2 linked regions of the Coturnix japonica genome follow. The protein of the gene in region 1 interacts with the protein of each later gene in a pairwise test. Links are inferred from orthologs where the notes say so. Each region holds a gene or a part of one and is shown on either strand. Other genes may lie near its edges. The genes, in order: MAPK14 and DUSP1.

The links.
Region 2: the proteins of MAPK14 (region 1) and DUSP1 interact in binary tests that used the Homo sapiens proteins (3 or more experiments, as listed by UniProt). The link is inferred for Coturnix japonica from reciprocal best matches to the Homo sapiens genes MAPK14 and DUSP1.

Annotation. Positions count from the first base shown.
Region 1 is NC_029541.1:513,521-528,974, forward strand, and holds the start of MAPK14 (mitogen-activated protein kinase 14), read left to right. Parts: upstream 1-8,264; 5' UTR 8,265-8,393; coding exon 8,394-8,509; intron 8,510-14,930; coding exon 14,931-15,060; intron 15,061-15,454. Other genes in the region: SLC26A8 (testis anion transporter 1), read right to left, coding at 1-133, 783-947, 1,446-1,618, 2,797-2,913, 3,266-3,405, 6,046-6,215. UniProt on the Homo sapiens protein: Serine/threonine kinase which acts as an essential component of the MAP kinase signal transduction pathway.
Region 2 is NC_029528.1:10,944,854-10,960,176, reverse strand, and holds DUSP1 (dual specificity protein phosphatase 1), read left to right. Parts: upstream 1-6,869; 5' UTR 6,870-7,010; coding exon 7,011-7,380; intron 7,381-7,500; coding exon 7,501-7,649; intron 7,650-7,757; coding exon 7,758-7,977; intron 7,978-8,486; coding exon 8,487-8,857; 3' UTR 8,858-9,523; downstream 9,524-15,323. UniProt on the Homo sapiens protein: Dual specificity phosphatase that dephosphorylates MAP kinase MAPK1/ERK2 on both 'Thr-183' and 'Tyr-185', regulating its activity during the meiotic cell cycle.

The sequences.
Region 1 (15,454 bases):
GAAATGCAACAGGACTTCGTAGATACGTTATCCTGATAGTTTTACTGATATTTAGTATGCCCACGCTAAGCAAAAATAGCAGTATGCTGGTGGCATTAGACTTTGGGAGAGCCAGGAAAAAATAGAATATATTCTGAAAAGGAATTATCATAGAGAGGATCAAAGGCAGATACTGCAAGTATTTTTACATTCTTGACACCTGCTGCCCTGACGGTTGAACTTATCCTTTACTGTTATGGCAGTATCTTCAGTGGGAAGAAAGATGCTAAGAGCAAAGCAGTATTTTAAATGGTCTGTTGAGAAACACTGCCACAAGTAACTCAGATCTAGCACAATCACTCTTCTCTATAGCACCTTTCTCTCTAATTGTCTATCTTTTCATAAGAAAACTAGGAAGACTTATTTTTAACTTATCTTTATGTAGGAGTCTGCTGCATATTTGTCAGATACATCAAAGATACCGTGTGCCCAACAGTTTACCCACAATGATCCATAGAGGAAAAATGTACCTCTTTCTCTAACCTTTGTGCCATGCTGAAAATGACAGAGCTACATAAAGTAATTAAAAATACTCCCTTTTCCTCTTGCATGTCACACAAAAATCTCTGCTCGTCATTCAAGGCACCAGAGAGGCAAAGTAAACCACAGCTGAGACTTGCAGAAATACCCCTTAGCAGCTGACATTGAAATTATGTTCAATTTTTGTTACTGTTCTTTTGTTTATCCCACGAGAAGTATGCATTTATTTTTATTTTATTTTAACTAATAATGAATTTACTCACACAGAAAATGTCTCGAGAGCCCTTATGGAAGTCAAGCACAACGTCAAAGATAAAAGTGAACTGTGATACAATGACAAGCAATGCTGCTGCAGAGAGGTAAGCATCAATGAGAGCCTTTGGCAAGTATGCTGTTACAGACTTCAGGCAGAAGCAGCCTAGCAGCAACTGTATGGAACAAATAAGAAGTGAGGTGTGATGTAATTGTCTATGCCTAACCTGCCTTTCTTGTTTCCATATTTGAAGAGCATGACTTTTCACTGCCACACTTGACGGATAGTTATTTGAACAAGCTATATTCATTATGCACAATTAAATAGGATGCTGCCAAACTAAAATAGGAGCACTTCACATCAAGTGTGTGCAGTTACGCAGGACTACTTAAGAGTCTACACACTGGAGAATTGGTTAGTATAAAAGACAAAAGTAATTTACTTTATGCACTGCTATATTCATCATGAACACATCAATCTAACCTACACCATGTTTTTCAGACATCATGGGAGGAAGAGGCAGACCTTCACATTCTATTTTGTACAACATATGTATTCAAATTTGCTGAGCTTAGAACTTGTAAGAAATGAGACTGCTTGCATGTTCTCACATTTGTACAAAGATACACATAAGGATACATAAGTAAGGATTTAACACAGATTCATCTTTTACCTGAATTATGCCAGTCATAAATGTTATTGATGCAGCGAGTGTCAAGGTCTCCATGTAACCTTTCAAAAGTGTAGGGTCTGAAAAATTGACCAGTGAACTGTTAAAGGAGGTTTGGTTGAGAGCAAGGGACGTGAGAATATTTTTCACCACCAGATTTAGGATGCTGAATGAGCCTGAAAGCAATAGAACAGAGTGGAAAGAATGTAAGCACATGAGGTGTTGCAACAAGGATTTATCTTAAAACTACACATCCGTCTCTATGCCCTACCATCAATCCTGCAGTATGAGACGATTTATTTTCATTTAGATATATAATCTATTTTTACTGTTTCTGAATAAGCATCAAAAGCTTCTAAAGTTCCATCTGAAAATTTCAGACTCCTACAATTTTACAAGCAGTCTTTGTTTGGTCAGAGGCTCAAAAGAGAAAAAAGATTTTAATGTAAAGCACAGAAATGAATGGGCTGCAGTGAACTGCCAGAAAGTCCATGAAATAAGGTTTATCTGAGAAAGAACTACCAAGTTATCTGAGAGGCCAGAGCTACATAGATCCACTTGTATGAAGATGATAAGGGCCTTCTCACATAATAATCTAGTTTCTGAACAAATTAAGAACATAAAGCCATCAACAGCTCAGTCATGGCAAGGAACTGCATGACGCCTGGGGAAAACCAGAAGCTAAATCTTGATTCATGGTCACAGTCTGAGGGCAAGTAAGAAGCAGCTTGCTCTGGCCCCTTATGCAGAAGATGCTTCTGTGATGTGCCAGCTGCCCACTTTGCACTGCTGTCTGTGACAAAGGAGCTGTGGCAGCCCGTACCTTCAGGGGCAGAGGTGGAACAACGAATTTTGAATCTGGAAGTCTGGATTCTCCCCTAAATAACACTTGCACCTGAAATGCTTTTCGAAGCAGCACTGAACACAATCTCTAACTCCTGTAGAAACATTTAGCAATACAGAATAAACCTTGTTGGCACTCAGTCGAGTTAGAGAGATCTCTTAGTTTCTTGTAGCATTAGAATCGTTCTCCTTTCTTGTGTTCAACATACACCTTATATACTGCTCACTTCAAACAAGAAAACCCCATTCCTTTAACAGTTCTACTGATCAGTTAACTGGTCCTATCTTCTCCTAAACAAGTGATAAAGTAAGAAAGGCTTCTTAAAAGTAACAGAATTAACAATGCATATCAAAACAACCTCCTGTCTACCCTTGGATGCAAACAGACACTGCTTGCTCTTTGTCTCACACTCCAGTCTTCCAGGATTTCACAGTAACAGGGTCTATCAAAGAGTCTGATAAACTCTTTGGTGACTCACTCACAGTTACATCTTCCCCCACAAAACCTTACCAATTGAGATGTGATGTGAACTTCCAAATACAACATACAGCATTGAGCAGCAGAATGCAGAAAGGAAGCCATTGATTGCTGGCAGAGGTAACCCGGACAGCCAAATTCCTAACAGCCCTAGAAAGCAAAAAACTGACAGATTTTGCAAGGTGCATTTTAAAGATCGCTATTTTTTTTTTGCAACACAGGAGAACGCTGCTGTTAGTCTATATTTATATGCTTATATTACTTTATGAAACTTTATGAAAAAAGGCAGTGTCTTGTCCTCAAAATTACACCATATAACATTTGATTATAGAATATGTTTTCTTGCAAGTATGGAAATTAATAAGTTAATGATTTAAGGAACTTTAACTCACAAGTTCCCGCATAATCCAATGACACCTGAAGGAACAGGATAACACACACATTATGAAAAGGATGATGTACAAAAGGAAGCAGGAATGTTTTTTCTTTTCTCTCCTCCTACCTTGAGGAACCTGAACCAACCCAACATTTAGGCCTGCATGGAGGTCCTTCAAGATCCATTCTCTGAACTGATAGGAAAAAAGCCAATTCAGGACAGGGAACCTCTTGTATATGATCTTTTTGAAACTTTCCCAGGAGAACCTGAAAAGAATCAGATAAGAGCTATACGCAAAGTCTTCCATGACCACCACGTCTGCAGCCCTTTTGCATGACCTCATACTCTGCAGGAATAGAAGCCACACTGCTACTCTCAGATCTCTGCAAGCACCATATACTCTGAACCCACATTGCCTTCTGCAGATCCAGCTGGTGCATAACATGAGTCCCATACAGGCAGCCCTGTGCCTTTGCATTCCTTTCAGATGAATAGCAAATACTTTGTGTGCCATTCATATGATACCCCGTCAGCAGCAGAGCACAGAGCACTGAATGCATCAATTACTTGACCTCATTAACACACTGCAGAAAATCGGGAGACAGTATTTTGATACCTCCTATCCTAATCTAGAAGAAAAACATACAGGTGCTACATCTGGAGGGTAAAAAATAAAATAAAAACAAGCCTATTCCATCTCCAAAAAAGCAAAATGTTTCCTGTATTACACTTAACATGGAAGTGCAAGCAGGACCTGACCTACATGATTTTTCTGCCTATATGTCTTTGAATCAGTATTTCCAGCAGGTAAACTCTGAGCGGCCCTAAAGCCCTGTGCTCCCCTTTCCCTGTTTTAATCCCCTGACCATAGTGGTGATCTTCTTACAACCCAAACATACGCAGTGCAGCACCTGCCAGATTCTTCTGGCAACCCTAAACAGTGGCTGAGGAGCCCCGATTAGCATTACAGAGACCAGTCCCTTTCCATCATTTTATTGACAATCAAACCCCCCCAAAGGTCCATCCCATTGGCTGCTAGACAGGCAGGATCTGCTCCAGGGTGGTTTTGGAGGATGGGGGGATCCTGTCAGGGAATTTGACCTCAATTCAATGATGAGATCTCTGTGCTGCTCGGGGCTTTTAGGGTATGGGAGCCCCTCACCAGGGATGCGCTGTTTGACACTGGGTTTCAGAACGTGCCAGGATGACCAGTGGATACAAAATAGAGAACAGAGAAAATACATGAGATAGGGAAGTGGAAAAGAAATAGAGAAAGGAGTATGAGGAAACAAGAAAGATACAAGTCTAAAATGGGAATTAAGGGAGGGCATATTTTCTGATTAAGCAGCAAGTGTAGTGATAAAGATTCCAATAATATTAGCCATGACTTTAAAGCAGAATTCTCCCTTTTTTAAAGCAGAATTCTCCCTTTGACCTCTGCATAAGACCTATTTTATTGCACAGGGAATCTGTGAGTGGCAGTCTTAATTCTAGATCACATATCATCATTATGCACAATTCAAGCCTTTCTGTTAAGTAATTTTGTTCCTCTGACTCCAATCTCCTTTTAGCACTAGAAAGAAAAATACCTACTGCACAGTCCAAAGGATCTCACAATTGCAGAAATTAATCAACAATGAGTCTTCAAGGTGAAATGAAAAACTATAAAGCACAGTAGTAACTCAAACTCTAGCTCCACTTGCCTTCCCTTATTACCAGGAAATTCCTTTACAACAGTGCCAGTAAAACAGGATCCATGATTTTAGGCTGCAGTCACACTCACTGCTGAGCTGGTGTAAGAACTAGTTAGACAAAAGAGGGAGGTCTGGCTCTCCTGAGTTGCTTTTCCTCCTGTGTCCTGTCCCATCTGGCAGCTGCAAGCTGTTAGATTAGTTCACCACGCCTTGGGAACCTCACCCATAGCTAGACTCGAGTCTCAAGGCATGTCACTGCCCCAAAATAACAGTTTGAGTTTCAGTATACATTCAGAATACATGCTGAAACAAAGCTTAGAGAAATGATGAATCAGAGATATTTTTTTTTTTACTTTCTTAAGAGGACTCTGTAGTGTAGACACAGCTATAACCACTGACAGCCCACTCCACATCCAAAGAGATTCTTTCAGAAAACCAAAAGCATTCATGGTCAAATAAAACTAAAAGGAAAGCTGATGAAAGGGCTTCCTAGTTTTGATTATATTTGCCTTGCTGAAAGAACACCAGGAATTCTCCTAAGTTGTCAACAAAGACTGCCTTCTACTGAGCCTGCAGGGCTCCTCTGGCAGAAGATACGCTTCTGTCCCGAGGATAATGCCCAAAAGAGAATTTTGGGAATTTTGGCAGATGGAAAAATCAGGCTGTGGAAACATTAACACTGTATAGGCAGTAACATTTGCATCACCCATTCTCTTCAAAGAATTCAGAAACATAGCTCCAAAATAATCCACAAGCAGTTCAGCCAATCTTAGTCATACCATTATGCAACTTTCCACGTCCCCAGCTGAGAAGGAACAGAAAACTGCTCTTGAAATTTGAGAAACAAAACTATCAAAAGGCAGAATTCAGAAAAAATGCAAGTGAAAGCTTGTGTCCGACAGCTGGGCTGAGGGAAGCACTGGAGGGGACTGCAAATATTAACAGCTTCTCCTTACAATGTATATATCCCTCACGCTATCATAGACCTGAAGTGAACACTCCTACAGATTGCTAAACTAGGGGGGAGTGGAGTGCTGTTCTTGCACACTTCACCATTTCTCCAATGGGCTGTTCTGCTTCAGTTATCAATCAACAAAATTCAGCATGTTAATTACAAGCTGCAGGAAGACATTAGCATCTTCCCACATTTGGGCTTGAAGAGCCTCCTCAGTTTTTTTTTTACACCTGTCAAACTCCTAGCACATAACTCACCTGCAACGTAGCTGTGTCTTCTTTTCAGGGATTTGTGGCTCTCCACCATTGGTAGAAAGTAGGTCTCTTTCCAAGAGTTCCTGTAAGTGCCCTTCAGTTTGCACTCTTCTTTGGACTCTGTAAACTGCTGGTTGCTTCCTGGTACTAGCTGTATCATTTTCCAGTTCCATATTTTCTTTTTGATGAGGAATATCAAATACTGGAGACAACAATTAAACCTCTCATTCTTGGCAGTGAGACTGGAAGAAATAGACAAGGTGTCTGAAATACCTATTAAAACCAAAACCAATAAAAAGCACATGACATCTGTCCATCCCAACATAACTCCTGTGAAGCCAACAGCTACAGCAAGGACAAGGCTCTGAAGACTAACATCCTTGGAAGATCTGCTGCTGTTAGGATCAAGCCAACTGGCTGCCAGAACACTGCATCCTTCTGAAATTTGCCTTGATTCTATCTTGTAGGAAAGATCGAAAGATCAGACTGGATCCCCTCCATCATGGGATCCCCAAAGCATGTCTGTGTTAAAGGAAGAAAATACAGCATCCCTCCATAAACCTATCACAGCTGAGAAACAGTTTGAACTCTCCTTGTTTCCAGTGCTGGAAGAAAAAAGGCTTAGATTGAATCGTACAGCTAAACTAGAGGCCATACAATGCCAGTTTGCAGTACAAAATTGCTATCTGACACCATTCAGGTTTTTAAATGCCCCAAACCTTTATTTCACATTCCTTAGCATTTTAACATCAGGAAGATCTGAATTCAGTCACTACTGCTCAGATTAGGTAAGATGTAAGTTCCCAAAGTGAATATTGAGTAAGAAGTCCAGTGAAAGAGCAGATCTAATCCAAAGTTCTCATACTGACAGCTGAGGTAGAAAGAAAACTCAAATCCAGAGTTACCAACTGAAAGTACAGAGACAGCATAGGAAAAAGGCCATGCCATGCAGAAAGGCAGTTTTTAGCTATTGACAGAGGGAAAAAAAGGAAAATGAGAAGCATGAAAAGGCAGTAAGTGAGCAGAAAGTCATCAAAACGCAGTATAAGTAACAAAACCTGGAGGGAAATAAATAAATATGTTTCCTGAATGGTTGGGATCCCTTTGTACAAGTCTGGCGTTTCACATCACTGAGATACACCACTTCTAATAGAGGAGCCTGGCAGCCTCCAGGCACAGCCACCAGCACACACAGCCCAGTCATTCTAACAGCAGCAGGCAGCCCGCAGGCACGTTCGATTCCTAGTGAATGGTTTGTTCCTCTTTTTAAAAAGGAGATACACAAAGGCCTTCCAGAGTTTAAGAGACGTTTTGTTCATGAGCTCTGCACACCCAGTACAAGCTGCTGTTTGAGCAAAATCACCTTTTTTCAAGTGAAGGTAACACAACAAAAAAAGTTAAAAAGAAACTTGAGTTCCAGCTGTACCAGCTCAGCTCCCCAAGCTCTGTGAGACCCCCAGAGGGAACGGGGCTTGGCCTTACTGAGGGCTGTGGCAGTTCAGCCCAGGCCTGCTGCCTTAGGTCATCGTTCTCATCAATGTGCATATTTTGCTTAAAGTACAGCGTCAAGGTGACAAGACAAAGCCTCGCGAAAACGGCACACGGACTGTGGCGCCGTGACATCTCCCTGCGTGAGCACAACCCCCTCACACACCGCACTCGTGGAACACTTGAACGCAGCGAGCCCGCCTCTCGCCTCGGCCCGTTCTCGCGAGAGCCCCTCCGCGCCGCTCCGCATTGCCTCCATATTGGGGCATCTCTGCCCACGGCGCCTCAACTCTCGCGAGAACGTCTGGACTGAACCCTAGGGCCGCAGTGGGGAGCGGGGAGGCGGAGCGGCCGGGTCGGCCCAGCCCGAGCTGCTCCGCTGGGGGCGGGACGGGGCCGGGGCCTCGTCTTTGCCGTCCTACCTGCGGCCGAGTGCCTCCCCCCGGCCTTCCCTATCGGCCGATCCCTCCCTCACCTGACAGGGCAACCCACCCCTCGCCGTGCGGAGGGAGAGAGAAAGGGAGAGCTGTGTGTGCGGGGAGGGGGAGGCGGCGGCTGAGAGGAGGGGACCGGGGAAGGAGCAACCGCCCCGCGCGAGGGCTGGGCCCGGGCAACGTGAGGCGGGGGGGCGCGGGGCGGCGGCCAACGGTCGGTGTGAGGAGAGGGCGGTGTGAAGGGGCGGCGTGGGAGGAGCGAGGCGGGGAGAAGGGAGGAAGGAAGAAGGGAGGGGAGGAGGAAGGAAGGAAGGAGGGAGGGAGGGAAGGAGGGAGGGAGCTCTGCTGCTGCAGCTGGAGGTGCTGCCGCAGCCGCGGGCACCGCCGCCCCCTCCCGCCGGGCCGGGCGGGGTGGGCTCCGCAGCCGAGATGTCTCAGGAGCGGCCCAAGTTTTACCGCCAGGAGCTCAACAAGACGGTGTGGGAGGTGCCCGAGCGCTACCAAAACCTCTCCCCGGTCGGGTCCGGGGCCTACGGCTCCGTCTGGTGAGTGGCGGCTGGGGGTGACTCCGGGCCGGGTTCTTCCCCGGGCACCGCTCGGCCCCGGGCGCCGCTCCGCGCCGTTCTCCCTCCGCCGCAGCCGGCAGCCCCGAGCATTGCAGCATAGGGCAGGTGGCACCGGGACATTTTTGCAGGGGAAGATAATCGCGTCCCAGCCCCCGGCGTGATCTCATTTGGGCATATTTCGCGGTGCCTTCTCGCAGTTGGGAGGTGGGGGTGGAGAGGATGCGGGCTGGCAAGGCCCCGAGCTCCGCAGAGCTCTGCTGGCTCAGTTTCCTTCTCGACCCGGAGGATGGATTATGAGCCGGGGGCTGCAGGGAGCTGCTGCGTCCCCGACGCCTGGCAGGGGCTGCAAGAGCCATTTTAGCGGCTGTGTGCGGTGAGCGCGGCGTGCGCTGCCTGCAGGAGCAAAGCCTGGGGTCAGCGTGCGGGAATAAGGAGAGCTCGGAGCTGTGCTCGGTTTTTAATGCTTGCCTCGTTGCATCGCGTGCACCGCTTGGGATTTCTCTGCAAAAATGTATTGGATCGTGAAATGTAAATCAGTGGGGCTGATGACATCGCTTAATCGTAAAGATGAGGTTGTGTCTGGATTGACGTTCCGACTTGAGCAGTCGCTTAGAGGTTTATATAGCAGCATAGGCTGCTAAACGATGTTTTTTGCTCTGTCAGTGTGATCCGAGTTCTCATACGGGTGTGTAACAACTGTACATCTGTTCTGCTTCTGTCTCGGAGCAGGCGTGCCTATTTTTTTCGTTAACATAATGTACAAGTTTATACCATGACTGTCATTTATATTTTAAGGAGCAATGCATGCTGACCTCTATCAGAAAAAGGAGTTGCTTTGTGTGTGCTGCAGTTTTAAAGAAGTCAAGTTCTCTCCTGTTCTGCTGTCAGGAACCTCTGCTGAAATAACACGTTTCTTAAAACTGCCGTGTCCCAAGTATGTAAATGCTTGTATGTCATAGAAGACAGAGCCTAACCAGTTACAGTACCACGGGTAGCCAGTATATCTTCTGATTTAGTCAGTTTTTTAATAATTAAAGGGTTTAGTTCTGGTGAAAGAAAGGGCTCAGTGCCCCAGCTGATAAATGCCCCTTTAGCTGCTGTGGTTACATAACTCCCTCGGTGCAATAGGAAGTGGATTTACTCCATATCTGCTGTATTCAGGCCGGCCTTATGCAGTGCATGCAGCCCGTTCCTCTTCTGTTCTCCACCTACCCATGGTCTGTTGTGTACTTAATGCTTCCAATGTTTGTTTTCACAACCAATTACTGAAGACTTTGCATCATGAATTTCCTGTAATGCTGCCTCCGAACTTTCAAAGATTGTGCAACTGTGTTCGGCCTGGATGGATCAGCTCTGCTTTGGAAGCAATTTCAGATGTACGGCATGTGCATCTTAGCATAGCTTTTTTCAGGGTTTTCTTTGTGTCCTACCAAAAACATCTTTCTGAAGAAGTACTGCTCAGACAGACAAGTAATAGTGTGCATGTATAATTAACTTCGTAATGTAAAGCTCCAGACAGTGATGTGTGGCATTGAGGGCATTCCTAGCATGGCTTGTTCCACTCTTTTCCTTTAGAGAGATTCTTCCCTCTTCCTTCTCCTGCTCTGGGAAGATGTTCCTGTCTTTGTTTCAGACTTGGAGTTTGAAGTGCCCTCTGTTTTGGGACAGCGAACTGCAGGGCTTTAATCAGCCTTAAACAGAGTGCATAAATACACTCCTGTATGTCTACAGCACTGTTAGATTAGAACATAATGATACACTTTATTTAGGTGTCCAGATGAGAGATATAAAAAGGGGGACTTTCTAGAAAGTGGAGGAAAAATTAACAAAAGAATTAAGCCTGCAAATGAATCAATTAGACTGTGCAGTGTCTGCTGCAGTCTGCTTTAAATGTCCATCTCAACTTGGAGCACCGTGGTAGAAAGTCCTGACTGAAGTTTTTGCAGTCAGTGGATGGAGAATGTTGTTCTATGCAGGCAGCCAGAGCGTGTCCTTAGTGTTGGAGTAAGTGTTCTTGTGTCTTCTGGTGCACGGTGAGGATGTTCAAACAGCCAGCTCAGGTATTTTTCAGTTTTTTTGTTTTGTTTTTTTTTAACTGAAAATATGTGGAAATTAAAGTAGGGCTTTGGTGCTAAAATGCCGAGAAATGTCTATATGGACTCTCAGATCATTCATCACTAAGCCATGTTAACAATTGCAGTGACATCTGTTGTGTGAAGTGATAATGCCTTCTTGCCGGAGTTTTGCGTATTCATCTAAGTCTTCTGCATTACAAGAATTCTGTCTAAATCAGTAACAAGGTCTGCACTAAAACATGCGGGTTACTGAAATGTCAGTCCTGCATACTGTGTGTGAGAGAGGGGTTGGTGCAGCATCTTGCAGTGGGAGCTGCTGGGCTGCCTGGGATGGGTGAGCAGTGAGTTGTGGTTCAGCAGGGGGTTGGCAGCTGCTGGTGTCTGCAGGCAGCATTAGTTCACCCTTTGTAAGCAAATGGGTGCTCTGATGCTTGTTGCAATTAGCTTATAAAATGTGAAGGCAAATTTGGTGTGCTCCAAGCAGTTTATTTTATTGATTTTTATTTTTATTTTATTTTTTAATTTGTTTCCCCAACAGTTATTTCTGTACAATAACGTTTTAGCTTTGCAGACTCTGCTGTTTCTTTTGGAGAGGAAACTGCTAAGTCTTACGTAATCTTGCATAAGGGTCCTTCAGCTTCTCCTGTTTGCAGGCTGTCAGGCTACAGAGTTGTTAGAAAACTGAGGGATCTGCTCCTCCCCTCCATAGTTGTACCAACACTGACTGAATGTCCTGGGTGTGATGAAGCTACTGAGGTGATTCCCCTGCTTAAAAGCTGACAGAAGAATGCAATGGGTTTCAGACATCTTAAACCATCAACCACGAGGCATTGAAATAAACCTAAATATCACCTTTTTGGCAGCAGTTCCTCTGTGTACCTGTTTTTGTCCAGTGTGTGTCCTTAGGCTTAGTAATCAATTATTAAGATGTGCAATGCCTCTGTGCACAGGAGGGGTACCAGCTTCTCCAGCCAGGTGTGCAAAAAGAATTGCCGCATTGTGAGTGGGAGGGAGCAGCCACACAGGTGTCAGAACATGGGAAAGGAAGGAAGGTCAGCCAGCAGCGGGCATGCATAGAAAAGCAGGAAGCAAAGCTTGGAAGGGAAGGCTGCTGGAAACTTGGTGTGTTAAGAAATGAAATGAGGGTGAGCTTGTGTTTCCTACAGGGAGTTTTGTATTGCAAAATTTATGGAAGGAGAATCTAAAACAGCAGAGGGGGATTTATAACTTCATATCATTTGAAGTTGAGGGTGAATTACAGAAATACATGTGCAGAGTCATCTCAGAAGTCTCTGGTTTTACTGATAAACTAACAGGTGTGAAGAACTGTGCTTTTCTGTCTGTAATGGGGATGCATGAATGAACTCCAGGGGTACCACTGAAATGGTTCTGTGAGCACATCTTTACACTGACACTAGCCGTGAGCAGCATGCTGCTTAACAAAATAACCTTCACGCTGAAATGATTATTCTGGTTATCGAACATCTTGGTACCTTGGATTCTTAAGTAATTTTGCGTGTACTTACAGTTCTCAGACTATTGCAAATGTTATATCTAAGATATAAACTGAATCGCTGGTTCTCTAATTCTTATTCTGTCTCTTATTCTCTGGATTTGCTCAGGTTAACTCAGGGTTGCAGTTGTAGGTCATTTAGGGGCTGTTCATGTGCTGTGTAATGAGTTATAAAACATGGAAGATGTGATTTTGGATTCATGTTGATCTTGTTTTAGAAGAGATTTGGATTTGTGGATCTTGCAGTTTTTTCCCAGTTGGTCTTTTGTAGCTGAAGTACAATGGGTGTAATGCAGCTGTTTTAAAAGCGTGGTGCAGCTGTGATGAAAAGCAGCTTCGGGTTTTGTAAAGTGCTTTCCCAGCTGACAGCTGTTGCATAGCTCTGTGTTCTGTACTTGTTAAAACCATGCCTGGATCTGTAGGGAAGCGGGTTTTAGGCCTCAAATATGACCAAGCATAGAATTCTTTTGACTTGAAGAGTAACTCTAGATTGTGAATGTGCACCAATGTGATATTTTCTCTCCTGAGCTTGTGTACAGTGTCACTGTGCTGGCTGAATAGTTTTCAGCTCTGCTGGCTGCAGTTCTTCTTGCAGATTAGAAATCTTCTGCAGCAGACCAGTAACTTGTTATGATCCCCATAACAAGTCCTTATGTCCTTGGAAAATCAGATGAAACAAAATTTCCCTTGGTCTCTCAAGAGTTGGCATTACAACTGGTGGTTCTGAAATATTCTCTAAAAAGAATAAGGTGGAAATTGGGAGGGAAATTTGGCTGTAGAGGTGGTAGCTGTGGGGATGAGCAGGAGATCCCTTCTTTGCGAGATGAAAAAAGGATGGAGCACGTTGCCTTTTGCACCTGAGGCACTTGGCAGCTGGTTGAGATTCGTGACTAATTCACAACAGCCTGGACTGAATGAAGGTGGCTGACCTTACTTTTGTGCTGAACCCAGAAAACACCTTGAGTATTGTCATCCAGTTGGTGTGAATTAGATACAACTGCATATTGCAAAGCAGTGTATGTGGAACTTTATCTAAAAAAAACAGTGTTCTGTATTCTCAAGCTGTAGTATCTGAAGTACTCATTTGTACTGATTTGTGGAAACTTAATGTAGATCATTTGAAAGCAAGATTAGAAGATGAGCATGTAATTGTATTTTCCATATGTGCAGGCTGGGTGAGGTGATTACTAATGGGCATTCTTGTAGACGATATGGAGCAGCTCCAGTAATTCAGCTATGGCAATTTGGTGCTCCTGTGATCTTCCTTCTAGCTCCATCTTCATATCTCTTCCCAAAAATTCCTTGTGCGGTGTGTACAGGTATCTCTTACACAGAAGGAGATGCCCTTTTCTGTCCCACGTGGAGGTTTTCCCATTCCCTTGCAGGATTTTAGGGAGGGGTTGCTGTTGGTAGAAGCAAATTTGTGTTTCATTTTCTATCCTTAGTTCTTGTAATGAGAATACAACAAGTTCCTTGGAAACTGCAACTTTGAGATAAGTTGTATTTCTGCAAGTGAATTGATATTAATTTCTTTTCAGTTAGCTTTTTTTTTTTTTTTTTTTTTTGTCTGTGCAATTGTGAGTTTGTTCTAGAACTGCTTTTGTGATTGGTTTTGGGCTTGCTAGCTGAACTGCTTTGCATTTTGTGCTTGTAGATTTCCTTTCCTTGTAAGCTTTCCTTGTCCCTCCCTGCTGATCAAAGGCGCTGTGCATTGGGAGCCTGCCCTGTGTCGGGCTGCAGGAGACTCAACAGATGTTGTTCTTCTCCAACTTTCTCACTTCTACCCTTTCCCCACGTTTGTGATCTTGGATCAACATAACCTCAATTTCACATCCTCTTTCTGCTCCTCCTTCCTTTTTGACAAACCAGAGCTAGTTTCAGATAACAGCATTGAAGACAAGAAGAGCAGTTTGATTGCCAGCTAAGTGCCTGCTTTTACTTAGGTCTCTAAATACGCAGCCCTGAGCTCTGGAAGGTTCTGTGCAGCAAATCAGGATTGTCAGCTTTCTTCTAGTGCTTAAAGCTTTCATTGTTTCACAAGTATTGGGCTTTACTTCTGAATTTTGTCAGACGTTGGAGTACAAAGCAATTACGTGGAGGCATAACAAGTTATCACATCATTGGCATTAGGTTTTATGTGTTATAAGGGTTACTATTTTAATGTTTCTGAAAAGTTTAGTAATGTGCAGTGAAGTTTCACTTGTGCATCTGTGTTTTTTTGTAGCAAGCACTCAGGATTGGGTGTGATATGCCTGTGAGGTTTGATTTCACCTTCAGGTGAGATGAACGCCCATCATCAGTGACTGTTCCTAGCAGCAGGCATGGATTTTTGTATGGGCTTAAAGCCATGAAAGATGGCATCTCGAGCACAGCAGATAATGTTGTAATGAAGTGTACTTTTGCAAATAGGTTTAAGAATACGAGTAGCATTTACAAGTATTCTTCCTCTCTCCAGAGTTTCATTGCCTTGTTTACATTTGAAATGGTAACTGTGTTCTAGGCAGAAGAATCATAATCATTTTTAACTTTTCTTTCTGCAAAATTACTTTTTGAAGATACTATTTTCCCCTAAGTAGGTGAACAACATTCATCTTAGAAACGCTATCAGTAAAACCCAGCATTTATATCTGTGTGTGGGAATTTGCAGCCAGGTTGCAGGCCAGGAAGCCTGGATGTTATTGGTGGTGGAGAGGGAGAAATGGAATCGGCTGTGTGACTCAGTGCCTGCGCAGCCTCTATTTGTAGTTGCTAAATGGATTTGAGGGTGTTTATAAGTGATTCATTTTGACTATTTGATTACTCTTTGTTGTAGTTCTGCCTTTGACACAAAAACTGGGTTGCGAGTGGCTGTAAAGAAGCTGTCCCGACCATTTCAGTCTATCATCCATGCCAAAAGGACCTACCGAGAGCTACGGCTACTGAAGCACATGAAACATGAAAATGTAAGTAGAAGGAGATTATATGAGAAGCTGGGCTACCTGGTGTGATTGCATTCCAGGCTGATTGCACAGGTTTTTCAGATAGTAAGTACATAGCTTGCAGTAGACAGTGAATCGTGATGGAAGGCTTTCTTTCTTGCTTTGTGTCATCATGTCAGAAAGGGTTGGAGCAGTTGTTCACTAGATTCCTGTAGATGAACAGGAATAAAAAAGGGGAGGGGAAGATATCAGACATCTGTTCTTGTAAGCCATCCATTTCAACAACACAGACCATGAATGCTTATACTAAGCTATGCTATATGCTGTCTAATCATTTTTTTCTGTTTAACTTCCATTTGCTGTGGAAACCACTTGAGCAGTTCTTTGTGTTTGTGGCATTAACACACTGGTATATTTA
Region 2 (15,323 bases), on another chromosome or scaffold:
TGCCCTTCTGTTCTTTTCCTACCCGTTACCAACTTTCTTCCATAACAAAGCTTCCAGAGCATGGGGGGGTTTGTGTGTGTTCTTACTGGTAATATGATTTAAATATTCTGATGATTCATTTTTGGTCCGGCGAGCTGAATCAGCCGTGTAGAGCACAACTTTCTTCTCCCAAACCACTACCTTTTCCATCCCTTCTCGTCATTTCTATATGATGATTCATGCTCCTCTTGTATTTACCAGCTGAGAATGCGCCTGATTCTTGCAGCTAATTTCACTTCTTGTTCCCCTTTTTTAACAAAAAGGAGTGTGGAGGATCGATGTCACCCACTCCACTGGGGGACCCAGAGTGTGAACTGATCCAACAGAGAGGAGAAAGAGGAGAGGACTTTGAATCATGAAATCCATCAGAGCCCACTCTGTGAGTTCAGCCCCTGACCCACATCTCATGTGCTTTCAATCAGTGTATTCAAGCGAGGGATTGTGTCAGAGGTAACTCCAGCATAGCTTGCTTTAAAGAAGCTCCTTATTCTATTTAGTTACTCAGCCCTAAGGTTTCCCAGCAAGCCCGTTAGAGCTGTGTCTCAGGCCGAGAGCTGATCATGGTTCATCTGGCTGCAGGAGAGGGCTGACTGCTCACAGCAGGAGTGCATAAGAACACGAGGAAATCTTTATGGTAGGGCTCTGGAAAACACCTGAATTTTCATCCCTGCTTTCCACTCAATGCACCTCAATAACGCACATCTCAGCACAGCTCTGAAACCCAGTGGGGGCTTTCTGATTTTGTTTCTTTTCACCCTTGTATCTCTCCCTAAGAAGTGTGTCTGTGTGAGTCCCTCCCGGGCATCGCAGCCTGGCCCAGCTGGAGTGGCACTTGGGACACTGCTCCATGACTCACTCTGCCCTATAGGTTCTCATGTACTTCTGAAAACAACACATGGGTCAGAATTTGTCTTTTTTCCACAGCCTAAAGGTTTTCACATTCAAAACAGTCAAGTGTTATTCTGTGCTATGACTAATAGTGTGTTTTCACTAACCGCTATTACACGCAAGCATCACCTCACTCTATCACATGAGAGAATCGTGTCATATTGCAAATATTCTAACAAACTGCATAGCAGAAAATGAATAAGCAGTTCTATATTTACTGATACGGGGATATTTTTTAGCAGTTACATATTAAACACCAAGAATGGCTATAAACAGTTTAGAAGCTCATTCTAAGAAAGCACAGAAAATAGAATACTGAGAGGCTCAGATGGAGCGTGTTAATGTGATGTACAGTGGCACTTCTTCATGCCTGGTTTCCTTTGTACGGTTCTGTATTTTTTATATCTTCTTACATAGTGTACTCTTAAGGCTCCGTGCAGCGTTACTCCATTGTATGAGAACACGAGAACTGTGGCCCTTTTGAAGCCTCACCTGGAGCCCTGCGTCCGGGTGTGGGGTCTTCAGTACAGGAGAGATGCAGACCTGTTGTCCAGAGGAGGGCCACAGTAATGATCCAAGGGATGGAGCACATCCCCTACCAGGACAGGCTGGGGGAGAGAAGGCTCCAGCCAGACCAGAGAGCAGCTTTTCATTACCTAAAGGGGGGACATAAGAAAGAAGAGGGCAGAGTGTTCAGCAGGGTCTGTTGTGATAGGACAAGGGGAAATGGTTTCAAACTTAAAGAAAGGGGATTTAGATTAGCTATAAGAATGACTGTTCTTTATGACAAGGGAGGTGAGGCAGTAGCACAGATTACCCAGAGGTGATGGGTGCCCTGTCCCTGCAGAGACTCAAGGTCAGACTGGAGGGGCTCTGAGTACCTGATGGAGCTGTTGGTGTCCTTGTTTATTGCAGAGAGTTGGACTAGATGGCCTTTAAGGGTCCCTTCCAACTCTATTCTATGATTCTCAGCTAATGACCCCTTTCAGTGCCATTAGTCAGGCAAAATTGGTGCTGAGAGCACACTGTGAGAGCCTACAGCTAAACCTACAGCCTTAGCCCTGAGTGTCCCAAGCTCTTCCAAGCCGCCTCTATCCACCCAACCTGCCTGTGTGCCACGCACGCTTGCAAAGCCTCCATCTCCCCATAAAGATCCCATAGATAAGAGCAGCAGAACCACCTGCCAATCGCAGAGCCTCTCAGCAGCCCTTATCGCAATCTTTATGAGAGCTGATGATTCTGGGAATTGGAAGCTCATACACAGTCACTGCGCCCACAAAACACTGACATCACATGGCAAGCAATAACCCCGCGGCTCAGCTCTGGGTAGCAGAGCACGCCTCTCCCTGCTCTCAGAGCGGGGTACGTCACTTGTTTTCTATTCAAATTCACCCTCCTCCCACGGAAGCCCTGCCTTGCAGTGCTGGCCACCAGACAATGCTGGTGAGAAAACACCCGCTCTGACAGGAGGAAGAATAATTTCCCTTAAGTGTATTTTATTATATACCTTATACCTTTCATCTCGAAATATGGGAGCCTAACAAATACGGTGATTTTATTGAATAAATACTCTTAGGCCTGGTGTGTGATTCATAGCAGATTAATAGAGGCAATTAAGTGTAAGATTAAATTGCTTAAAAACCACTTGCCCTACTAAGCTGAGCCCGGTGCTGAGGACTGTATCAGCACCACTAATTCCCAGCGATTTTCCTTTGGAAGCAGGTATTTAATGATTTGGAATATCAAACCCGTGGTATCCCAGCCTGGCTGCCTAATGCCTGTAATCATGTTAAGGCTCAGCACTAAGCAGCAACTCGCCCTGAGCGCTCCGGTGAGTCACTGGGAGAGGAGAAAGCAGAGCTCCTGCCTGGTGTCCTACAGAGCAGAGATGGTTGGTCCATAGCAGAGCACTCCATCCCTTGGCTCTCAGACCTGGAGGTGCCACGTGTTCTCTCATTCCTCAGTCATACATCTATATCCAGGACTTGTCCTCCATGACAGCACACCATCCTTCAGCACGCAGAACCCAAGGCGCTTTAAGCACAACAAACTCCGGCAAAAAGAAAAGGTTCTATTTTGGGATTTAAATGCATTAAAAATACTGTTTTCATTGTAGTGTGACTCATCGGTAATTCTATGCTGCTCATGCACAGCTTGCTGTGACCTTCCATCGCTGATCCTTCTCTTTGCCTCCTCTTTCTCTCTTTCTGTTCTTTCTCTGTCCCATCTTTCCCGTCTTCTTTTTCTTTTCCCTTCTGTTTCTTCTGAGTTTGAGCCCATGTGAAATCTGTCCAAATATTTACAAAAGGAAATGCTGGGTTGTGAAACTGAATTCGGAGAAAATGTTACACATGCAGAAGCAATGCATCCCGCACGCTTTCCAAGTGTTCCCACATGCATTTTTCTGCTCTGTCTCAAGGGCTGAGGCCGATGCTCTGCATCTCCACTGAGGCAGAACTCACACCACGGGCACTGAGGCGCAGGCTCCGGTCAGCTCCAACGGTGCCGTCATGCTGTGTTTTCTGGAATGGCTCGGGGCTGATTTTGGCCATGGGTGAGCGGTTAAAGGCCTGACCAGCCAGTTTTGCTGGGTTTATGCAATGGGCCAGTTCCTTGTTAAGGCTTATCTGTGCTTGTCACCAAGCTGCTAACAAATTGGTACTACTGTGTCGGTGCAGAAGCTGTGGGCAGCCCTCTCCTTCCCCTCGCAGCCAAATATCGGGAGATTCACAGTCCAGGAGCAAAGCCAGAGAGGTCCAGGTCCTGCTGAGACAATGACAGCACTCAGAATCACTGATGGGGCTTCCCAAGATGAGCAGAATCCCACAAGTAGAGGGTCACACTATGGGCCTCTCGTGTCATTACAGACATGTAAATATTTTGGCAGAGCAACATGGGAACTTCTTCAGCTTCTCTGAAGGAGCGATGCAGCACTAGCACAGCTGCCCAGGGAGGTGGTGCAGTCACCATCCCTGAAGGTGTTCAAGAGCTGTGGAGGTGTGGCACTGATGGACGTGGTCAGTGGGCACAGTGGGGGTGGGTTGGTGTTTGTACCTCATGATCTTTGAGGTCTTTTCCGACCTTAATGATTCTATGGGAACTGCTGAAGCCCGGGGAATAGTGGAGGCTCAGGATAACACCAATTGAGAGTCCCACTTGCTGAGAAAAAGCATTGCCTACATCCCAGCCCTGGCTCAGCCTCATGCTGCTGCTGCTATTATTACCCTCACAATAGCACTGTGGCCTGGGAGCAAACATGGATTTCTTTTGGAGGAAGGGGTTAATTTTGTGCTTCCTGGCTTTTGTTAAGACAGGAAATCAAACCCTTAAGAAAGTCCTTCAGGTCTGGCTGAGCTCGTGAAAGCTTCTTTGGTTCTGGTTTGTATTTTCCTTTCCTTCATTCTTCTGGCAGGTTTATTTAAGAAAAGAAAACAAAAATAGAGTAAAGCAAGGAAATAGCTAGTCCAGGGTTATAAGTGATTGAGTACACACTGCCACACGTGATGAATTTTCTTCCTGATTCGTGCTGGGTGTAAACAAGAGCAGACTCAAAAGACTCATGATTTAATAAGTCCATGCAAGAGTGATGGCCACTGCTGTGCACTCTCATGGAGTCAGATTCCCCTTTGCAGAGGCCACAGATGAACTCCTCCTGTGCTGACAAACAGCAGCCTGGGTACCTGGCCTGGGGTGTCTGTCCCACAGTACGTATGGTGTAAGGACGAGGTTGGTTGGCAGCACAACCAGAAGGTGGCTGACACTGATAGCACCGAGCTTTGCTGTGCAGGTGTCAGATATGGCAGCTGCTTTAAATATGGGAGTGTTAAAGTTGCCAAACGGGGGAAAAAAAATCACATTCTTTTAGTGTTCTTTTCTGTATGGGATGCTGAGAAGCTTTGGACTATTAGAGAAAGCATGGTCAGCAGCACAGGGATGCCTGCATCTGTGAGCCATGGCTGGTTTGCACCAAGAAGGCACAGCACCATTAAGGTATCAAATGCCCTCTTCAGCCCACACTCCTACTGTTCTGTTCCTTGGATCTGGGATGGATCTTAGAGATCAGTGTGATCTGGCCATGTACTGTCACAGAGATATCACATCTTTGGGAAGGTTTGCCTTGGAGCACATCGCAGGGGCACACACAGGTCCTCCCATGTCCCCATAGTGTGGAGGGATGTGTATCACCCATCGGGCTGCTCAGGTCCCACCACTCACACCCAGCAATGGGCCACCACCTCCCAGAAACCAAGCAGTGATTGTGTGGTCAGGCAAAGTCATTTCCCAGCACTGAAAGCATATGGATGTTTCTCCCACAGTCTGTTTCCAACCTGCTGTTCTTTTAACAACAATAAATAAATAGAATGAAAAGCACAATCCAGTGTTTATTTTTAAAGAATGCGTTGAAAAAACACATTTGCTTTGAGACTGCAGCTCTGGCAAGTAACACCCCGATGTTGCTCAGCAGAGCAGGGACATCTCTGCAGTAAGCAGGAGCTCAGAGCTGGTGCTCATTCACCCATATCCTTCCCTGTGTCTCCTCCTCCTGACACCCTTGGGGAGCCTGGAAAGCCCTGCAGCACTGAACCTGATGAGGTGCCGGGCTGGTTTTAGGTCAGGATGGATGAAGATTGGTGGAAACTGGTGGAGAAGCAACTGGAAAATTCGAGAAGGCTGAGAACCGACAGGCTGCAGGGCTGGGGGATGGGGAACTGTCAGGGGGGTGGGAGAGGATGGCTGGGGGATCTGGGGTGAAGAAAGGAAGTCTGAAAGGAAGTGATGAGAGAAAGCTGCTGAAAGCTAGAGATTCTGAATGGTGCGAGGAAGGAGCAACGCAGGTGGAGCAGGCGAAGAGGGATTGCTGGGAAGGGACTGGGGGAGAAGGGCTGAAGCCAGGGATGGTGCTGGCGTGTGGGGCAGGGGAGAAGTGCTGGGGAGGCAGGGGAAGTGAATGCGGCGCTGACGGGAAGCGGAAAGCAAGAAACAGCTGAGTGCTGCGGTGGAAGCTGAGCGCCCACGGGGAAAGGCAGACTTTTGGGAAGTGCTGAGACAACACCAAGGGGGGAAAAACAGAGCTCCAATGGCTTCACTGCCGGGTACTGGGCTGCCCTGACTGCTGGGGAACCTGCTGTGCGGAAAATGAACCTCCCCAGGTCTACTGCGAGATTATCCTTACATATGAAACATGAGAACAGCTCTCAGATACGTTTACATTATACATATACATGCAAATATACGCACACATGTGCATATATTGATGTGTAGATGTGTCCGTACACGCATATATGCCTATGCACAAACACCAATCCCTGTCTGTGTGCGCTTATCTCTATGTGCTGCAGGAGAACCTGTAGGACTGCTCCCACGCCTGCATCCACTCACGGTGCTGCTGTTGGACATGTGAACACACTCACATACGTGTGTGTGTGTGTATATATATCCATGGTGTGTGTGTGTGTGTTTCGTATTTATATAGCCATGGTGTGGATGTTTGGTTCTCGGATATGTATATATCCATGGTGTGTGTGTGTGTATATATATCCATGGTGTGTGTGTGTGTGTATATATCCACGGTGTGTGCCTGTATGTAGAGAAATGTGATAGCTTTGGGTATTTATATGTGTGTATAAGTGTGTTTATGCACTTGTATGTGTATATATATCCATGGTGTGTGCCTGTATGTAGAGAAATGTGATAGCTTTGGGTATTTATATGTGTGTATGTTCAGGCACGTGTAACATGTAACCCTATCTATGTGTGTATGTCTATACTCTTACACACACACAAACCAGCGCGCCCCCGCGCCTCTCAGTTCGCGCCGGCGCGCTCCCGCGCCGATGACGTCATACCGGCGGTGCCGGGGCGCGCCCTGTTTGGCGCGCCTCCAAGGTGACGTCTGCTCCCAGGATCACGTGACCCGGCCCCATTGAGAAAACGGCGGCGGCGCGGCGCGCCACGATATAAGGCGGGTGGGTTCGCACGGGGCCGCGCTGAGTCGCGTCCAGCCGCGTCTGATCCCGCTGTTCCGCGAGCTCCAGCGCTTTGTTTCCCCGCCATCCGAACCGGACGGAACCGAGCACGGGACCATGGTGAACCTACGTGTGTGTGCGCTGGAGTGCGAGGCGCTGCGGGGGCTGCTGCAGGAGCGCGCCGCTCAGTGCCTCGTCCTCGACTGCCGCTCGTTCTTCTCGTTCAACGCCGCTCACATCCGCGGCTCCTGCAACGTGCGGCTCAGCACCATCGTCCGTCGCCGCGCTAAGGGCGTGCTGGCCCTGGAGCACGTTGTACCCAACGAGGAGCTCCGCACCCGGCTGCGCCAGGGGCAGGTTCACACCGTGGTGCTGCTGGACGAGCGCAGCGCCGACCTGGAGCTGCCCAAGCGCGACAGCACGCTGCTGCTGGCCCTCGGCACGCTGTGCAGGGAGACCCGCGGTGCCCGCATCTGCTTCCTTAAGGGTGAGTGCGCGGCCCCAAAAGCCGCTGCGGGATGGGGTTGGCCGTATCGCCGGCTGAGGGCTCTGCCCGCCCCGCTCCACGCCGCGCTCACCCCGCGCCTCTCTCCCCTGTGCCCCGCAGGAGGATACGAAGCGTTCTCGGCCGCCTGCTCCGAGCTGTGCACCAAACCCGCCGCCCCTACCGGGCTCAGTCTGCCCCTGAGCGCCAGCAGCGCGCCCGGCAGCGCCGACTCGGGGTGCAGCTCCTGCGGAACCCCATTGTACGACCAGGTGAGTGCGGGATCCGGGCTGGGGCTGCCCCGCCGCTCGTGGGAGAAAGGACGGGAATCGTAAATCCGCCGAGCGATGTTAACCGGGCATCTGCCCCTTTTGTTTCAGGGCGGGCCGGTGGAGATCCTGCCGTTTCTGTACCTGGGCAGCGCGTATCACGCCTCCCGTAAGGACATGCTGGACGCGCTGGGCATCACGGCGCTAATCAACGTGTCGGCCAACTGCCCCAACCACTTCGAGGGGCACTACCAGTACAAGTGCATCCCTGTGGAAGACAACCACAAAGCCGACATAAGCTCCTGGTTTAACGAGGCGATTGATTTCATAGGTAAATGAGCTTTCCCTGCGATCCTTTTGTCTCGGATGACGTCCCTTCGGGAGTGGCTTTTAGGGCATTGTGCTCCCCAGCGCTGCCTGCGTTTGGGATCGGGGAACCTTTGTTTTAGGTGTTCTTAGGGGATGCGCCCATCACTTTCTCTGGGCTGAGAGAGGGATAATCTCAGCTTTGCCAAACCATTAGAAACCTCGAGCCAAGAGAAATGGTATCCTCTAGAAAAGTGCTAGTGAATTTAAGTGGATCAGTATTAAAGTAATCTTGCAAGACTGCTAAAGTGACCCGGAGGAGCTATTAGTATAATTGGAATTGGAGCCCAGAATGAGAATAGCTAGACTGCAGCTTCCCTCAGGACAAAGGCTCTTTGTCTCCAAAGCACAGGGCTCACCTATTGGGCTCCTAAGGAGGGGATGAAACAAAGAGATGGAAAGCAGCAGCCTTTGCTTTCCCACCTCCAGAGGCAGTGGGACTTGTTTGTTAACTGGGCGTTTTAATTCTTTCAGATTCTGTTAAAAATGATGGAGGAAGGGTATTTGTGCACTGCCAGGCTGGCATTTCCCGGTCGGCGACCATCTGCCTCGCTTATCTCATGAGGACCAACAGAGTCAAGCTGGATGAAGCCTTTGAGTTTGTGAAGCAGAGAAGGAGCATCATCTCCCCAAACTTCAGCTTCATGGGGCAGCTGCTGCAGTTTGAGTCGCAGGTTCTTGCCCCCAACTGCTCAGCAGAAGCTGGGAGCCCTGCTATGTCAGTATTGGACAGAGGAGCATCGACCACCACAGTCTTCAACTTCCCAGTCTCCATCCCTGTTCACACCTCATCCAGTGCTTTAAGCTACCTTCAGAGCCCCATCACCACCTCCCCAAGCTGCTGAAAGGCAGGCAGAAGCGTGACCAGAACTCACAATTCTTGTCTCAGAAGTGCAATAACTATGGGGACAGTATCATCAGCCACTTGTCCTGTGGGGAACCATCCACTTGTCCTAGAACGCTGTTGTACACACGAGGAGCTCAACCAGTGTTCTGTGTGTTGCTGGCTCCTGAAGCCAATATTGGGATGCCTACGCAGAGATCAGAGGATGCTGCGTTTTCCTGAGCTGTTCCCCTTGTCTTCTGTTTGTCCTAAGCCTGCTGCATGTTCAGTAGCCTGCTCACCAGTATTCCCATTCCTGGACACTTTAAGCAACACTGATGTTGTCCCCTTTCACGACAGTCCTATTTATTTATTTTTGTTAGTTCATTGTTTTGCCTTCATGAACCTGAAGTTGCATTTCTAGAGAAACCAAATACCTCAGTATTTTTTTTGGTACTGTAATCCTGTGTGTATATATCTGTCGGCTCTTCTTGTTTCCAAGCACTGACATGAAAGCACTGGGCGAGTGCTTCTTAAGTTGCCAAGGGTTGTATGTTTGATTTATTTATGATGTGAAATAATATATTTCTTCTTAGGAAGACATAGTTTTGTTACTTGATTATAATAACTTTTTATACAAACAGAATAAATTATGATATTTCTAGTGAAAGCTGGATATACTTCAGAACCTTGTGTGTTTTACTGTCCCTGAGCTTAACTTTAGAAGCTTCCGAAGGAAAGAAGTCTGAGTTTCTGATGGAGTTTGACCTCAGGCAATGTGATTAAGTGGGGTCTTAACTAGATAGGAAAAAATGAGCTTTAAAATACTCACACTTGACTAGAAAGTTCTGCTGTTCTCTAGCCTGAGCCCTTTGTCCTTGTATAATTACATGCCATGGCAGACAGCTGGGGCCAGATCTCAGCTGTGGGGTGGCTTTGGCTGTGGTGGTGGCTGCAGAGCTGTAAGAGTTGGAACCAGCTGAGCATGGACTGCAGTGGGTTTAAAGGAGTCCTCTCCTGGGAAGGAAGAAGCTTCCTTATTGCTTCTTTGAAGGTTAAGTCTAAAAATGAGCCTGTTGCCAACTGATCTCCAGCATGTATGAGGGTTGTGCCAGGGTGTTTTCTTTTTCTGTCTTGCCTCTTAATTCCTTTTTGCAACCCAAACTCCTTCTGATCCCTACAGTGAGTTATTTGGCTTACTGTACCATCTGTAAATAAACCAGGGCATAACAACAGATCAGGTAACCTGCAGTCACCTAATTTTGTACCCAGACTGGAATAAACTCTTTTGCTACAGCTTCCCCACTGGGCTGACTTTCACCCAGTGCTTAAGTCGAGGCAACGTGAGGAGTTGTATCCAGTATAACCAAAGCTGGGTGAGCGCTGCTGGCAGCAGCTGTGGGGTGCCAGCCAGTAGTGCAGGGCAGCTGCTATGGGTTGGGTGTGATACTGTTGTTGTATGACGTGTTGGGGAGAGCAGTGCTGCTGTGACATGTCTTACCAGAGAAAGCTGGGCAGCTGGAGGCTTGCTTTCTTAGCGTGTGGTGATGGCAGTGCCAGCTGTTGGCATGTAGGAGAGCTCTGGGATGCTGGGTGCTCTGTCTCTGCCCGGGGGAGCATCAGTCTTCCCATGTCTGAAATTCAAGAGTTGGTGCTACACTTGCCCCATCAAAAGTGGATTTGCTGAGGCAAACAACAGAGGGTTATGATTCGTTGTGTCAATTCAAGGCGGCTTAGTATTTACAATCCAAAGTCCAAGCTTATAGGTAGGGGTTGTTAAGCACAAGGCAGCTGCAGTCTGATCGTATAACTGAGGATGCACTCAGCGCAGCTCCTGCTGAAACCCTGCACGTTACCTGGAGCACTGACAGTGCTAAATCCACGAGCCTTCTTAGAGGAGAAGGTGCCCTTGAAGGCTGGGCTGCTGTGAGGCACTGCTGTGTTGAAAGCGCAGCCACATGCGCAGCTCTGTCGTCAGCAGCCGCTGGCAGCCAGCAAGCTCCAGCCTGACACTGAGGATAGAGCACCCAGAGCAGGCAAAGGGGAGCAAGGAATGCTCCACAGGCACCAGGAGCTGAAGAAAAGAAAGTTATCTTTGCAGTGTGAAGAACCTCAAAGTATGTTGTCCTCCCAGGTCTCTCCCACCCTGCAAAGCTCTTTCCTTCCCCCTCACCTGCCAGGTGAGCTGCTCCATGGGTCTGTGCTCCCAGTAAGATGCACAAGGCTGTATCTGAAAACATGAGCCTTTCTGCACCTGTGGAACAAGCTTTCACCTTCAAAGCAAAGCAGGGTTTGTTCAGTGGAAAAATACAACCTTGGCAGCCCTGGCAGCGCAACTGATAAAAAGTCCTGCCTGTTAATCACAGTTCAAACAGAAATCCGCTCCCCGTCAGCTGGGGGAGCTTGTTTATGTGTTTCTTGGAACAATAAAACTCATTACCTGGCAGCAGATCAGCTTTTCTAACCTAAGCAGGCACCTGATGGGGGCAGAGCTGTGGCAGCACAAAGCACAGCCCTGTACCAGCTGGAGGTGCAGCCCCCCACCTCAGTGCAACATTCCTGGGCTGTGCAGTGACCTCCTGCTGCCCCCCCAGCACCGTGATGCCCCCAGTTCCTGCAGACTGTTTGTGGATGGGACCATGGCTGGAGCCCAAACTGTTCCTGGCTGGCACAGGTGAAGGATAAGGGGGGAACAGCAGGCAAAAGAAGGAGAGTGGCAGCTCTGCACCGGTGCCATAGCACTGGGGGAGATAGATGGATGGATGTGGCTAAACTGAACTCCCTGTGAATATGCTGGAGGGATCTTTTCCATTTTCTTTCCCTTATTTATTCACCTTGTGTGGTCTTTACAGCTTGGAATTTCCATTTCCCTGTCTCTCTGCATGCCGGTAGTACTCAGCTGAGCTCCTGCTCTTCTCTCCATCCCAAGACCCCCCAGGAACTGAGCACACAACAAGAGCGTGTAGAGTTTCAGCTTATGTAAAGCTGTCATTATACAGTTGCTTATGTCCCCATGGAAACCACGAGGAGTTTCCCTTCATTGGGGATGGTGCTAACATCACTTCCTGCTGCTGACAAACCAATTTGTCACAAAGTGATAGAAAAGCACACTCTGTAGTTGCAGGAACTGGCTCTGGGCTTTGTTCCTCCCAGGCCAGAGCTGGTGGTTGTCCCTGAAGGCAAGCAGCAGCCAGCAGGCACAGACAGAACCTCAGTGTCAGTGCAGCAAGGACAGCCCCACACAGCCGTCCCATACACCATATCCCACCAGCACAGACCCATGGATGGTCCCAATGACCCAGGGGTAGCACAGGACCCCTGTAGGGACACAGCACGTAACACCCCCAGTAAAAAGCAGGAGTAGGGGATGCAGAGTGCCCGGTTATCTCATGACAAACAGACAGAGCTCCAGATTAGAGTGCTGGGGTAATCCCCTTGTCTCAGGGCTTTTGCCTTTCTGTTGTAATCAGCACTGTGAAAGACGCTGGGTGAGCTGAAGCTTAGGGACTATCCTGCATTAGTCACCCTACAGTCAGAACAGCAGGGCCACAAGGCTATGTTATGCATTTAGGTTGAAGAAGAACATTACATCCTGATCTCCACAGGCAAATCTAGTTCACCTGCTTAGCACCTGTTTTTCTTTTTCACCATCTGGCTCCAGGGCAGTAGAAAGGACACTGCGAGTCAATTGGAAATTGCATCTCAGTGCAATCCTGGCTTCCCCAAATCCACTCCAATCCAAGGCTCAAGGGAGGTCAGGGAAACAGTTAAAGCCCAGGCTCAAACTCACTGATGCTGAAAGAACAAACGATCTGAGCTCTGAGCTGCGTGCAGACACGTGTGACCTCCCCTCTACGTGCTCTTTGCTTTGTGCAGAGCACAGCCAAGAACAGGTGGGCACAGTTAGCACCCACTGGGGGTAAGTGGGACCAAGGTCTTAAAGGAGGGAAAGAGAGGTAGGGCCTGGTGCTCTGCTGAGTTATGTGGCATTGCTGTAAGGCTGTCAGCCTGGCCAGGGAGCACCAGGGGATCTGGTTCAGCTCTCTGTCCTGTTTTTGCTCAGGCTGAGGCCATGCAGTGCTGAAGGCAATACCTGTGGGACAGCCCTGGTACCCAGGAGGAGGGGGCACGGTTACTCTGCCACTGGAGTGAGTAAATAATTCCTATTCTGAGAGCTATTCCCCATGCTGGGATTGTGGTTCCCAGGGTTTCCAGCTACTGTGGGGCTGAGGATCCCGTCTGTGGGACGGTGTGTGCCCCCAGCTCTATGAGCACCCACGGCACAGCCAGGACATGGCACAGTCCATTGGATGAGGCCAAGCCCAGGATGCTGCCGGGCCGGGGGTTTCCTGCACAGCGTGCTCAAGGTCCCACGTTTGCGTGTTTCCTGTGCGAGGCAGAAATGAGTCGCTCTGGGCTTCCCCTCCCTGGTGCTGCTGGGAGGCAGATGAGTGGGTGCGATGAGACACCCGGCACAACCTGCAGGTGACTTCCAGCTCCCCTTCCACTGCTATCACCCTGCTGGGGGCAGCCCTGCCCTCTGTGCAATGCTGGAGTTGGAAGAGCTGAGGGCATTCAGCAGAGCCAAAAGAGGGGATGCTCGTGTACACTGTGTGGAGATGGGGATGGAGCATGGATGTTAACATCCCCATTGCATTTCCCTGGCTGACTCAGGGCTTGCTGTGTGCTCTGGGTGGATGACTGAGGTCTGTGGGACCGGCCACTTCAACAGCTGGTTTGTTCCAAAATCCATGCAGGGACTATCCCAAGTGCCACAGAAAATGCTTCATTTCTCAAAAACTGGTTGTGTGTGACACCAATCCCCCTCATTTCAGTACCTTTTGGTTCCCAAACCGTAGGGCATACTTAAAAATAAAGTCCCTGAGGGCTCTGATATGATGTAGTCACTGTCTAACTCAGTAACCACTTGTCTACAAATAGGGATACTTGAGAAGTTGTGTGTGTGTGTCTTTCTTAGAGCCAAAACCAAGTCCCACTTGTACAAAAAGAAAATAAACTACAGTGTGATTTAGAGTTCTAACTTCTGATATTAATTCAGTTTGTTTGAATTGAGCTTCTTTTCTTCCACCAACAAATGTGGTAATAACAATTTGGGGTCTTTGATATACTGGAAAAAGGGGATTTCTTCTCAGCGTCTTCTTGTTGAAGGATCACCTCTGATAAATCTGTTTCTGCATCAGTATCTCGTTCTTGTAAATCTTGTTCTGGGTTCATTAGCCTGCCGTGGAGTCAAGCACCATGTGGTTCTTGTGGCAGGTTGCTCTAATTCAGGGAGGATATACACTGCAGATGTTCATTAACTAACTGATTAACTTGCAGACCAAGCAGAAGTTTCTTTATTGCTTTCTGCAACGAAATCTTGATCATTGTAGGTGGCTTTTTTTCAGGGGCTTCTGCATGATGAATGTTTTAGAACTGTGTCAGCCATTTATTTTATGTGATTGCGTATGCACACAGGACTGAAAACAGCCTATATGTATAAGATGTCCACCAACAAGGTGAGAACATTTCTGCTTCTTACTGGTTTCGAGTGCCCATCTTCCCTTCCATTGCCCAGGCTGTGGGGTCTGCCTATAAACAAGTGGCATGAACTGGTGGATTGCGGTTTTTATTGGGTGAGTGCTGGTTTAAATGTTTCATTAGAGGATGTTTTCTTCTTGCTTGCTGTCAGAGCAAGAAGTCAGCAGTTCTACACGCATGTCGGCTGTGACAGCAGCAGTTGCAAACTCTGTCTGTGTCTGAGCACACGTGGAATTTCCCCCTGCGTCGCCGCGCTCTGCTCTGGTGTTGCAAGAGATCAGAGCTTCCAGTCGATAGTCACAGTGTGAGGGGATGGGGGCTGAGTGGGCTCAGACAGCCACAACTGTGTGTCTGCTGCTTCTCCTATGGCCTGCTGTGTGCAGAGCGCTGAGGGTGCACAAAGAGCTCTGGGCACAGGCAGCACAGGGTGCTCAGAGCTGGATGGGCACAGTTGATGGTGGGACTGCTGCTGAGGCAGCCAAGGGTTGGGATCCCAAGATGTCCTGCCCAAACCTCACAAGGAGGCAGCTGTGCAGCACGGCCCCAAACAATAGTTCCCACCCTTTCCTACCGACCGGGAGGAACAAAAAGAACAAAATTGTTTGCAAGGAGGAAAAAAACACCCTGTCACTCCCTGTCTTTTGCTCTTCTGTCTCCCTTCTTCCTCGCCGCAGGATATCTGCCAGCAGACAGCACCGAGCACACCTCGGGTTTCAGCACCTTCCCTCGCCCTTTCCTTGTCCACCAGCGCCAAAGGAAGGTGGCCTTTTATAAATGCCTTTTGTTCCTCTGTGTACAGCTTCCCTTCCAAGCTCTGGGGCCAGCTGACGTCAGGGTGCTCCATTTGGGCTCCAAGGGCTGCTATCTGCAGCTGATGCCTTCCAGGAGAGGCAGGAACATGGCCGGGGGGTGGGAGGGAGGAAGACGCAGTGTTGGGATGCAGCGTG